Linked DNA regions of Cricetulus griseus. The protein of the gene in region 2 purifies or fractionates together with the protein of the main gene of each other region. This does not show direct contact. Links are inferred from orthologs where the notes say so. Each region holds a gene or a part of one and is shown on either strand. Other genes may lie near its edges.

What was found.
Region 1: the proteins of Wrap73 (region 2) and Ssx2ip purify together in Homo sapiens (co-immunoprecipitation; 4 studies listed by BioGRID and IntAct, counting the BioPlex papers as one, with this or other methods). This does not show direct contact. The link is inferred for Cricetulus griseus from reciprocal best matches to the Homo sapiens genes WRAP73 and SSX2IP.
Region 3: the proteins of Wrap73 (region 2) and Obi1 purify together in Homo sapiens (affinity purification with mass spectrometry; 3 studies listed by BioGRID and IntAct, counting the BioPlex papers as one, with this or other methods). This does not show direct contact. The link is inferred for Cricetulus griseus from reciprocal best matches to the Homo sapiens genes WRAP73 and OBI1.

The regions. Positions count from the first base shown.
Region 1 is NW_023276806.1:12,736,809-12,740,454, forward strand, and holds part of Ssx2ip (afadin- and alpha-actinin-binding protein), read right to left. Parts: intron 2,678-3,646; coding exon 2,527-2,677; intron 673-2,526; coding exon 536-672; intron 235-535; coding exon 61-234; intron 1-60. UniProt on the Homo sapiens protein: Belongs to an adhesion system, which plays a role in the organization of homotypic, interneuronal and heterotypic cell-cell adherens junctions (AJs).
Region 2 is NC_048595.1:2,161,303-2,165,418, forward strand, and holds the start of Wrap73 (WD repeat-containing protein WRAP73), read right to left. Parts: upstream 2,915-4,116; 5' UTR 2,851-2,914; coding exon 2,782-2,850; intron 1-2,781.
Region 3 is NW_023276807.1:256,066,096-256,070,428, forward strand, and holds the start of Obi1 (ORC ubiquitin ligase 1), read right to left. Parts: upstream 2,865-4,333; 5' UTR 2,780-2,864; coding exon 2,708-2,779; intron 1-2,707. UniProt on the Homo sapiens protein: E3 ubiquitin ligase essential for DNA replication origin activation during S phase.

The DNA.
Region 1 (3,646 bases), on a different chromosome or scaffold from region 2:
AGCATCCACCTGCACCCTCCCAGACACCTGTGCTCGGGGCTGCAGCACTGCAGAGCTCACCTCCAGCCCCAAGCGGATCGCAGCTTCTGTAAAGCTGCGTCTTTCTCTCTCAAAATTCTTTTTTTGCTCTTTAAAAAGGGACCACTCTTCTTTAAGGCGTTCCTTTTCTTCCAGCAAGTAACAGTCTCGAAGCAGTGAGGTTGTGTCATCATCACATGTCGTGGCCAGCTGCTGCTATTAAGGTTTAAAACACAGTAAGTCAGGAAACCCAGACAGCTTACTCACACTCCAGTGAACGCAGGGAAGATGGGTCAGAGCTTGGCCAAGGACATACACGATGAAGCAATGAGAACTTGCTTTCCCAAGAGCTGCTTCCCTTGGCAAAGTAGGGGCCAGGTGAACAAGGCTGCAGCTCATTAACTGCTAGTTCAGATGACTCACCTGAGATGGTAAAGGGTGTCAACTCTACAGACCTCAGGAGACACAGGAGCAAAAATCTAGCAGGTTCAATAACACCCCGAGGCCATCCCTTTACCTGTAAGAGCTGCTGCTGTGCTCGGATCATCTCTTTACACTGCTGGATCTCCAATTCCAGTTTCTCAGTCTCTTCTTCATGGTCCTGTCGTGAGATGACGTCCTCATCATTGAGGCCTTCTGAGTGGACCTTTGAAACTGACAGAATCCCAGTGTGCTGGGTTAGTTTGCTGTCACCCTGACTCCAGCAAGGGTCATCAAAGAAGAGGGCCCCAAACTGAGAACAACTGAGAAAATGCTTCCACAGACAAGCTTGTGAGACATTTTCTTCAGTAATGAGTTGTTTGTTTGTTTGTTTGTTTTTGGAGTAGGGTTTCTCTGTATAGCCCTGGCTGTCTCGGAACTCACGTTGTAGACCAGGCTGGCCTTGTGGGAGGCCCAGCTCAGTATGATGGGGCCACCACTGAGAAAGTGGTCTGGAGTTGTATGAGAAAGCAGGTTATCTCTTATAAGATAAGAGATACCATAATAGAGGGAGATATTTTAGGTTTAAAGAGAAATCAGGCACTCGGGAAATGTCTGGAGATCGACAATGATGACACCAGCTAACAATCTAAGCAACAGAGGAGAGGCTACCTTAAATGCCCTCCCCTGATTATGAGATTGATGACTGACTTATATGCCACCTGATAGCCCTCATCCAGCAGCTGATGGAAGTAGAAGCAGACACCCACAACTAATCACTGAAATGAACTGGAATCCAGTTCCAGAAAAGAACCAGTGATGAGCAAAGGATTAGCTGCTGAAACCCACAGAAACAGCTGACCTGAACAACGGGGAGCTCTTGGTCCCCAGACTGATAGCTGGGAAACCAGCATGGGACTGACACAGACCCCCTGAACGTGGGTGTCAGTGAGGAGACCTCGGAAATCTACGGGACCTCTTGTAGTAGATCAGTACTTATCCCTAGCTTAGGTGTGGATTTGGGAGCCCATTCCACATAGAGGGATACTCCCTTAGCCAAGACACACGGGGGTTGGGCCTAGGCCCTATCCCAAAGGATATGATAGACTCTGAAGATCCCCTATGGAAGGCCTCACTCTCCCTGGGGGCGCAGAAAGGTTTTGTGATAGGTAGCGTTTTAGTTGGGGGGGGGGCAGGGGAGGAGGGAAGGGAGAGGGAACTGGAATTGTCATGTAAAACAATCTTGTTTCTAATTCAAATAAAAAAATGGAACACACACACACACACACACACACACACACACACACACACACACACACACAGAGTAAAATTTACCCTTTCCTCTCAAGATGCTTCTGGTCATGGTGTTTACCAAAACAATAGAAACCACGATGAGAGCCAGAAACTAGGCACAGGTTTTAAAGCCACTATTGTCTTAAGCTGGTCTTGAACACACATTTAAAATAAATTACTGCAAGTGAATGTGCAACTGTGAGAACTATGCTGTTTGTCCTTTGTGACTCACAGCTTTGTACTGATAACTCCAATAAACTTTAAGTAACTGACTTTACTAAACAGAAATTTTAGTGCTCAAGAAATGACAGAGGTGAAAAGTGCACTCTGTTCCTTAGAGCTCCCAGGCTCCATTTCTAGCACCCATGTTGGGGTCTTGTAACTACCTGTTAACTTCAGCTCCGGGGAGTCAGCACCTCTGGCCTCCACAGAAACCTACACTCACATGACACGCCCCTTTGCACACACAAACACAATTAAAATGATAAATGTAAACCTGAAAAAGCACAAACTCAACTTTCCTGATTTAGAAGCACGCAGACTTTAACACATATAAGAGTGCTTGCCTTCATACTCGAGCTACAAGTTGTTCAGTTCACTACCGAGCTGCACGGGGACTTCAAGTGTGAGCAATGCTGCTCTCTAAGACTTGTTCTGGAGCCAGGTGCATCTCTGTCAGTGAGTGCAAAGCCAGGGGCAAACCAGGCAGAACCAGACACCCAGAGCAGCCAGCCCTGCACTGGACAGCAGCAGCTTACATGGCGCCCACTTCTCCTGCACTGCAGCAGGGGTTACCTTGGTTATCGAGTTTTTCCACGTGACTTTTCAAGATCCTCCACTGTCTCCTGATGCTGTTTGTAAGCTGCTCTCTCACAGTGTCACAGGAGAGGCCCCACGCGCTCTCTCTGCTCAGCTCTCCAAGGTCATCTTCAATATCAGAGATAACCTACAGCCCAAAGAGAACGACGGAAAGACCAGTAACTTACAATGCTTTTACACCCAGGCTGCTCTATCGGGCTCAAGCAATCTCTCACCCATTAGCCAGTATCTATATCTTGTAAAAAGGTACTGAAGACAGAAACTCCCAAATTCAGATCTCTTCCAATCTGACTGACAGAGCTGTCTGAGACAGCTGCTGTCTGTGCAATGCTGTGCTGGATGCTGCTGCACATTTACTTCTCAAACTGTGCAAAAAAGAAACTCAGGCTCAGAGGCAGGCTCAGTGTCACACAGAAGACAGGCAGGACTGAGACTGGTCGATTTGTCTCTAAGTTTAGACTGCTGCAACAAGTAAACCTTTTGAAATTATCAACAGAGTCAAACAGTTAATCCCAATTCTCCTATCATTTTATGGCTGACATGTTTTTCTTTTTGTTGGACCAAAACATGAAATTATAGGAAAATGTACCAATGTTGATTAAGTTACCACAGAAAACAATATGAAAACTTAAGTCAAACATGCATCTATATACAATAGTCTTTATTTGTTACTAATTTCCAGGAAGGTTGAAACACTTGACTATGAAAAATACCTCTCAGGAGAAAGGTGGCAAAAGGTTAAAAGAAAGAAGAGTTATTATACCCCCCTCCCCCCAATCAGACAAATGCAGCAGCAATGAAGAGCTGGCACTGGGGTAACAGAGGTCAGGTCTAAGCAGACGCTGTGACGTCAGCACTGGGGTAGCAGAGGTCAGGTCTAAGCAGATGCTGTGACGTCAGCACTGGGGTAGCAGAGGTCAGGTCTAAGCAGACGCTGTGACGTCAGCACTGGGGTAGCAGAGGTCAGGTCAGAGGTCAGGTCTAAGCAGACGCTGTGACGTCAGCACTGGGATAGCAGAGGTCAGGTCTAAGCAGACGCTGTGACGTCAGCACTGGGGTAACAGAGGTCAGGTCCAAGCAGACGCTGTGACGTCAG
Region 2 (4,116 bases):
ATCCCTTAGTTTAGAGTCACCCTGGTCTGCAGAGTGAGTTCCTGGACAGCCAGAGCAAGAAACTCTATCCTAAAACACCGCCTCCCCTTGGGTGTGATGGTACACTCCTGTAATCACAGCACTGGGGAGGTACTCAGCTACTTTCTAAGCCTGAGGCCAGCTTTGCATATTATACTAAAGTCCAAGAGCCAAGAAGTTGCACTAGCCGGAAAAGCAAATTTGGATCCCCAGAAGCCACATAAACCTGGGTACACTTGTTTATAATCCCAGTGTCCCTGTGGTCAGAGGGGAGGTGGGGACAGGAGCTTGTGGGACAGCTAGCCTGGTGTATGCAGTGGAGAACGAGAGACCTTGTCTCAAATAAGGTGGAAGTCAAGCGTAATATTCTGTGTTGTCCTCTACCTTCTGTGTGTTGTGACACCCGTATACCACTGCACACTAACATGGAGACACACATGCATGCCGTGCACGCGCAGATTTTTTTTTAAGGGAAGCCTAATTAGTATTGTGCAGAAAAGAGAGAGCACAAAGGCCAAGCACAGCTTAGAAGGAGGCCCTGTCACAGGTTTTCACACTATAGCTTTGTGAGCTGTGAATACAAAGTTACCAGCTACAATGAATTCCTTATGAACCACTGACAGAGACACTGAGACTGGAAACATGGGCTGCTTTGCTCAGTATGGCAAGACTCCCAAGAAACAATTACCAAGAGTTCCACAGTATTTTGATGAGTGGGCAATCCCAAACACAAATGTAGATAACCAAAAGCTCTTTGATGTTAGTTAGAACTTTCAGAACAGTAAAGCAACCCTAATCTGTGGAGGCACTTAGGTAAAATGTATCAAGGCAGACACTGTGCAAAAATGTATCAAGGTAGACACTGTGCAAGTATGTGTGTGAGAATGTGGTTAATTCTCTCCTTCTCCTTTAAGTGGGTTCCACAACTCAAGTGGTCAGGCTTGCATGGCAGTAAAAGGTAAAGTGTATCCAGGTGTGTGTGGGGGGGGGGGAAATCTCCTTCCTCCTTTACATGGGGTGTGTGTGTGTGTGTGTGTGTGTGTGTGTGTGTGTGTGTGTGTGTGTGTGTGTGTGTGTGTGTGTGTGTGTGTGTGTGTGTGTGTGTGTGTGTGTGTGTGTGTGTGTGTGTGTGTGTGTGTGTGTGTGTGTGTGTGTGTGTGTGTGTGTGTGTGTGTGTGTGTGTGTGTGTGTGTGTGTGTGTGTGTGTGTGTGTCTCTCCTTTCCCTTTTAGACAGGTTCCAGAACACAAGTTGTCACGCTTGCAGAGCCCAAGCCATATCTTTATCTGCTAACACCATCTCTATCCTGACACTTCCTACTTTCTAATGACACATAAGGGTAATCTCTATCCCTAAGGCTTGGAGAAATACTCCAGGAGTGTGGATTAAGAACCAAGATAGCACCGGGTGTGCTATGGAAGACCTTTAATCCCAGCAGTGCTCAGGAGGCAGAGGCAGGTGGATCTTTGTGAGTTCTAGGACAGCCTGGTCTACAGAGTGACTTCTAGGACAGCCAGGGCTACACAGAGAAACCCTATCTCAACAAACAAAACAGACAAACAAAAAGATCCAAGAAAGCCAGGCGGCGGTGGTGGTCCATGCCTTTAATCCCAGCACAGGGGAGGCAGAAGAGGGCAGATCTTAAGTTTGAGGCCAATCTGATCTACAGAATGAGTTCCAGGGCAGCCAGGGCTACACAGAGAAACCTTGTCTTGAAAAAGTAACAGTTTTTTTTTTTTTAAAGGTACCTGTTCGTTAAAAGAAGATAGATGCATAAAAGGAAGCTCATTAAAAATTATGATTTGTTTGTGGGAAGGGTCCTGCACTAGATATGGCTTATGGATAGGTTAGAGGACAACTTGCAGGAGCCTGTTCTCCCTTTCTGCTACCTGGGTCCTGGAGACGAGACTCAGGTCATCAGTTTTAGTGGCAGGTACCTTTCCTGGCCAAGATACCCCACTGACCCAGAACCATAGTTTTAATAAGACATGAGCCTTTGTCCTGGTGACTTCCTAATGCCAAGCGTCTGCCTTCTAAGTACACAGTGGTCAGATTGGTGTATTTTTGAACACCGTCCTGTCACCCATAGAATGTACAGCTAACATCCAACATTGGGGCTGAAAGGCAGTTCCTTAAATAACTGCATGCGATGGCGGAAAAGGGGTAGTGAGGGCCAAAAATGAGGGCACCATTTTAAACAGCTTACAAGCGAAAATGGTCATAAACCATTGCCGTTTGTGACAAAATAACAATGAGCTGGCATCCCCTGTGCCTCAAGCGCGTGAGAGCAGCATCACCCAACTTTGATAAAGGGAAACCCGAGCAGGGAGGCTGGCATCCGCCCAGCCCGGGCCACCTGCTCCAGGTCCCCCTCCCCTCCCCTGACCACCTGCCAGCCGGAGTATCAACCTACTGGCAACTCCACCCCTGCCCTGCCCTGCCCTGCCCTGCCCAGGCCACCCGCTCCACGCCCCCCCGTTCCCTACCCGGGCCACCTGCCAGGACCCCCTACTCCCGCCTGGGTCCCTCTCCTACTTCAGGTTCCTTTTCCCTACCCTGATCACGTACCTAGTCCCCCCACGTCCGGCCCGAAACCCCTCCGCCTGGTTCCCCAACACCGCGCCTGGCTCGAGTCCCCCTGGCCGCCCCCCCCCCGCGCCCGCCGTCCCGCTCGGGCCCCCTTCCCGCCCCCCTTCGGCCCGCCCCGGGCCCCCGGCACAGGTCGCGCGCACGCATGGGCTCTGCCCCGCGCGCCGCGGCTCACCAGGTACTTGCCGTCCGGGGAGAACCTGCAAAGCAGGCCCGAAAGCTTGAACGACTCCGAGAAGTTCATGGCCGCGGCCAGCCCGGGCCAGCACAGCCCCGAGGTACAGCCCGCAACCGCCGCGAGCCGCGGCCGGAAGTACGGAGGCGGAAGCGAGCTGCGGCCAATGGGAGCCCCTAGCGGCCGCGCGGCATTGTGGGGCGGGGAGTCCGAGCCCGTGCTTTAAAGGCGCCGAGCGCCGTTGCGCCACAGAGGATCTCCGCGCGAGCCGCGGGACGCAGGGCTAAATCCTGACTTCAGATGAGTCACAGTGTAAATATGTTCCCAGATGCTACATGGCACGAACTTAGACTGGAAAACTCCCTCGTCTGAAATTTAGATTTTAACTAGACGCTTGTATTTGTAAATTACATTTATACATATTTATTTTAAGTATACAGTGTATACAGATAAACCTATTTTGTAAGTAACAAAGTTCCTGTTACCGGGGCTAGGGGCGCGGCACAGATGGCGGGGGGCTTCCTTAGCTTATGTGGAACCCGGGTTTCTATCCCCAACCCTGCATACACCCGGCACGATGGAGCGAGCACACCTTAAATCCCAGACCTGAAGGCGGAGGCAATGGCCGTTCAGGGTCACCCAACGTTAATTATAAAGTCTGAGGCCATCTTGGCTTCGTGAGACCTTTTCTCAGATAAAAAACAAAGCAAAGCATAGTATCTATATATTCTATTGCAATTTATTTTCTATGTGATGTTCAAGTATAAATATAGGTTTGCTTTGAGGTTTTGCTGAGGGAGAGCGACCACCTGCAGCGTGACCTCAGGTGCTCAGGTGCTTCGCAAGTCTCGCAGGCCTGTGGATGGGCTCGCCTTCCTGGAGGTCCTGGGTTCGAGTCTCAACTTAGACGTCCGTGATTCTCCCGGCATGGCAGCCCCGCTAGACACATCCGTGGGACAGAGCACCAACTGGGCTTCAGATCGCGCTCGCTCCCCGAAGCGCCCAATTCCTCACTCACGCCGCACCCCAAGTCCTCTGCCCCACAGGGCTCCCCACTCCCGGCTCATTCGGGAGGCTGGTTGCTCTGTCTGCACCCAGCTCAGCCGCTGCCGTGGGCTCTGGGTCTCGAATTCTGAAAGACCAACAGGACCTGCTATTGTTTGCCCCAGCTCATAGCTGCGAACGAACCTCTTCCTTTCCGATGCAGCAAACTTCCAAGAATTAAATGAATACGGGTCCGGAGAGAACCTGGAGAGTGCGCGGAGTGCTGGCCTTTTCTCTTCCTAACCAGACCCAAAGTCTTGCTTGGTGTTCGGCCTGGTTCGTGGTCAGGCT
Region 3 (4,333 bases), on a different chromosome or scaffold from region 2:
CAAAGATAGGAGGTGATCCAACTAAGCCCTTTGATAGTAAACTCTCAGACACTGGACACAGAGCTACAAGATTCTGTGCCCTGGACTTTGGTCTAGTATGTCCTCACTGTGCCCCATTCCTCCCTTTTGGGATGGGAATGTATAGTCTGTACCACCTGGTGTTGGAAATACGTACTTTTTTATTTTATTGGGGGGATCACAGTTAAGAGACTGATGAGTCTTAGAAGCAACTTTAGACTTTTAAACACTGTTGAGACAGCAAAAGACCATGAGGACTTCAAAATGCAGTAGATGCATCTGTCGTGACATGGCGAGGAGCCTATGGGGAGCAGAGAGTAGAATGTGGTGGTTCGAATGGCTAACTGAATACTTGGACTCAGGCTGGTGGCAGATTAAGGAGGAACCCTTTAAGCAGGGAGGCCTTGCTGGAGGAAGCGCACCATCAGCTGAGGCCTTGAGAATTTATAGCTTACCCTCACAGCAGGCTCACTGTCTCCCTGCCCTCTGCTCCAGCTGCCCAGTGCCACACCTCCCCGCCATTATAGACTCTGCCCCTGGAGCCATAAGCCAAAATAAATTCTCTCCTCTAATAGTCAGTCACTTTTGTTCCTGGTGTTATCACAGCAACAAAAAGTAACTAATACAAACACTAACTTAAAAATGGATTCTTTCTCCAAGTAGTAAAATATGAAGCATTTAGTACTCTTTCAGTTCTTGTCTACCCATGTTCCTCTACGCAAACCCCACTATACAAAATAGCCAAAACAGACATAGGTCTAAAAGTTCTAAGATATGGATATGATCATAATTTCCCAGGTCATCAGTCTTCACAATCAAAAACAGTTGATCACCATGGCAACGGTATAAGTGGCACGTGAAATCCCTAACTTTTCAGGGGCATGCATGTTCAAGGATGAGGATCGGAGGATAATGTTTCCAAGATGGTGAAGAAGAGGAAGAGGAAGAGAGAGCAAACTACAATACTGTGCTCTGTACACTAATGGACAGGAAGGGGTGGTCTTTGGTGCAAAGATTAACTCTACAATCTGTCTCCTTCCTTAGCCCTGGTTGTCCTTGCTCTGTAGACCAGGCTGGCACTGAACTCAGGGATCTACCTGTGTCTGCCTCCCGAGTTAAAGATGAAGGCATGTGCCACCACACACAGCTTGTTTTTCCTTTTTTATCATGTCATGTTATCTCCTTTCCAATGAAATCCCTTTCTTAACATAGCAAATGTATTTGGAAGGAGTAGTGTTAAAAGTTCTTCATTAATAGCCCTACTATGGAGGGCTCGCTGACTAGGAGTTATGTATTGGTTCAGGTAGGGGCTTCCCATTTGGGGCACTATCAACATTTTTCTTAACTGAAGTATTTTTGTGTTGTATATCATAGGAAATTTAGCTAGCAGCAGCTCTGGAATCCACCAGTCAGATGCCATTGGCTTGCCCCTGGAGGCAATCAAAAGAAACTACACAATCACAAATGTTCCTCAGGGTCAAACAGAAATTCTTCCAACAAGTTAACTGGGGTTGATAAAATTAAACACATTTTGAGCGGTGGAAACTGAGATATAAGGAAACAACAATATAGATCACAATTGACAAAGCCTGAATAGTTCTTAAAAAAATTTTTAAAGGCTTTCCCACCATGGGGCAAGGATAAGAGATAATAATTTAGAAGAAAAAAAAGATGTATGTTTGAAGGGATGGAACTGTGATGGCATCTTTGGGTGTGAAGAAAACATAGTTCAGATTTACCAGTTGGCCAGCTCAAAAGCCACCTTTGTAAACGTCATCCTTCAGCTCCTCAGAGAGACCAAGCAGGCCATTCTTTCTCACAGCAGATGGACCATATTTGTGGCCTTTTACTCTGTCTAGATGCTAGCTAGCAGTTGCTTCCAGACCCAACTTGCTTTTATTTATTGAATCAGCAAATCTACGCTGAACTTCCAACACCTAAAAAGCAGGCCATCTTATTGGCTGGCACCCAATTCTTTTTTCCCTGCTAAGCCTGGGGCTGTAAAGTGCAGCCTACATTCTGGGGCACACTACGTACAACCCAAGGTGAAAGAAAAGAAAAAAAAGAAGAACGAGCGTTCCAGTTCTTTTCCGTTCTTGGACCACGCGGTAAAGGCACGCTCTTTAAAAAAAAAGAACCGAATCGGGGGGCACAAACGGAAATGAAAGGGAAAGCTCGGTTTCTAACACCAAACTACTTTCTCCGCGGAGTTTCACGAACCCACGAGCACCTCATGTCGCCTCTGGGGACTGAAGCGGGAGCCGGGACCCCGCTGGCTTCCTTCCCCTTCTCCACGGCACAGAGGGGAGCGGGGGGAGAGGGGGAGCAGCTACCACCGAGGACTTTTCTAACCCTCAACGCGTGGCGAGAGCCGCCGTCCAGCCGGGAGTGAGACGGGGGAAGGAAGGGCTGGGAACGGGGCCGCGGCCCCCGAGCCATCGCTGCGGGCGGCCGGCCGGGCGCCGGGGCTGGCGGGGAGCCTGCTCTCCTCGGCGCCGCTCGCCGCACGGAGGATGGAGGCTGCGTGGCTCGCCCGGCCGCTCGCCCGCTCGCTCGCTCGCCGCGGAGGCTCGGACCGCTGCTCCCCGCAGGCCCCCCGCCCCGCCCCGGGCCGCCCCGCCCGCGGGCCCCGGACCGGCCTCCCGCCGCCGCTCGGGCCGCCCGCCCGTCTCCTAGCCGCACCCATTACCTTCCCCAAGCAGATGTGGCACGTGATGGGCAGAGTGAGGGACAATGTAACGTTCTGCACCGTCTGAGCCATGGCAGCGTTCAGAATCCCGCCAACACGGAAGTCCCGCCGACAGCGGCTCCTCGCCACGCTGGGAACGCGCGAGGCCGGCTACGGCGGCCCGGCGGGGCCACAGCGAGCCGGGCGAGGGGACGGAAAAACGCGCTTCTGGGATGCGCGGTCGCCCCGTCATTTTTTTTTTTTTTTCTTCCCCCTTTCGTTATGGAATCGTAGCTGTTTTTGATAACGGATTTAAAATGGGCCCCTGGGTCAGGTGACTTAAAAATTGCTGGGGACGGGAAGGAAGTTGGTTTCCTGGAGGCTTCGAGGCTCTGGAGCATTTGCGGAGAGTGTAATCCATCAGTGCAGCAAGGAGAGAAGGCTGTCAAAGAGGCCAATGGGGGTGGGGAGTGGCCACACCTTTGAGCCCTCAAGACATAACGAGAAAAGACCATACCTACTCGTCTGGTATTTTCGAAACTGTTCTCTCTGAGTTTCTTCCCCATTCCTACAGCGTGCTTTCCAGAAGGCGCGATGCTGCGCTTCAAAGCAACGCTGTTCTGCATCCAGACTACCCAGAAGAACCTGGGTAAACTCACTCTCAGCTCTCTTTGAGCACAGACTCTGACTTGCCAGCCTGGGCTTTCCTAATCAGAAGGTTTAAGGATTCTAGCCGGGGCGCTGATTCACCCCAAGCCAGGAAACTGCCAACAGGGCAAAGCATACACTTGTACAATGCATCTTAACGACTTCATTTTAGGTACACGGAGAATATGAAAAGTACCACTTGTGCTGTTGAACTCCCCGAGATAACTTGTGACGTTACAAATTAGCATTTCCCAACAATGACAAAGAAAAGAAAATGTAAATGTTCCCCCAAATGAATCTTATGTATAAGATTTGGGATTTAACTACAAAGTGGTGTAAACGAGAAAGAGCTAATAGGAGAAATAATGCAAACAAATGTAGTGTGTGAGATGGGAAATTTAGAAACAAGGGACATGTCTTTTGCTGATGTCTTTGTTAAAGAGACTGATGGAGGAGACATTCCTGCCTTGGACAACTTCCTAGGTCATGGCCTTTCTGTGTGTGTGTGTGTGTGTGTGTGTGTGTGTGTGTGTGTGTGTGTGTGTGTGTGTGTGTGTGTGAAATAAGGTGGAGGCCAATCATCCTGGCTCTAAAATAACCACGGAATAATGCAACTGGAGAGGTTAGCAACTGGTCTGGAGAAGCCAGTTTAAATCTCACTAGTGGCAGTCAGAATATCCCTGTAGCTCAGTATCTTTGTTTCCTAAGAACTAGAGGGTATGGTCAAGTTGGAATTGGAGAACTAGGCAAAACATCTGTACTGACTCCCTGTGTAATGGACACTTCTTCAGAATGCCTAGCACGAGAATAATCTGCTTCTAAAACCTTGTGGTTATTTGAAAGCAAAGTCATATTTATTCCAGGTCCAGAATGCACAAGCCTAGAAAATGTATCTTTCACATTCCCCGCTGAAGCCAGGATTAGAATGAGAAATTCCGTGATGTTTTAGGGCTTCCTTCTACAGCCACTGAGTGGGACAGAGGAGTAAGGATGACCTGC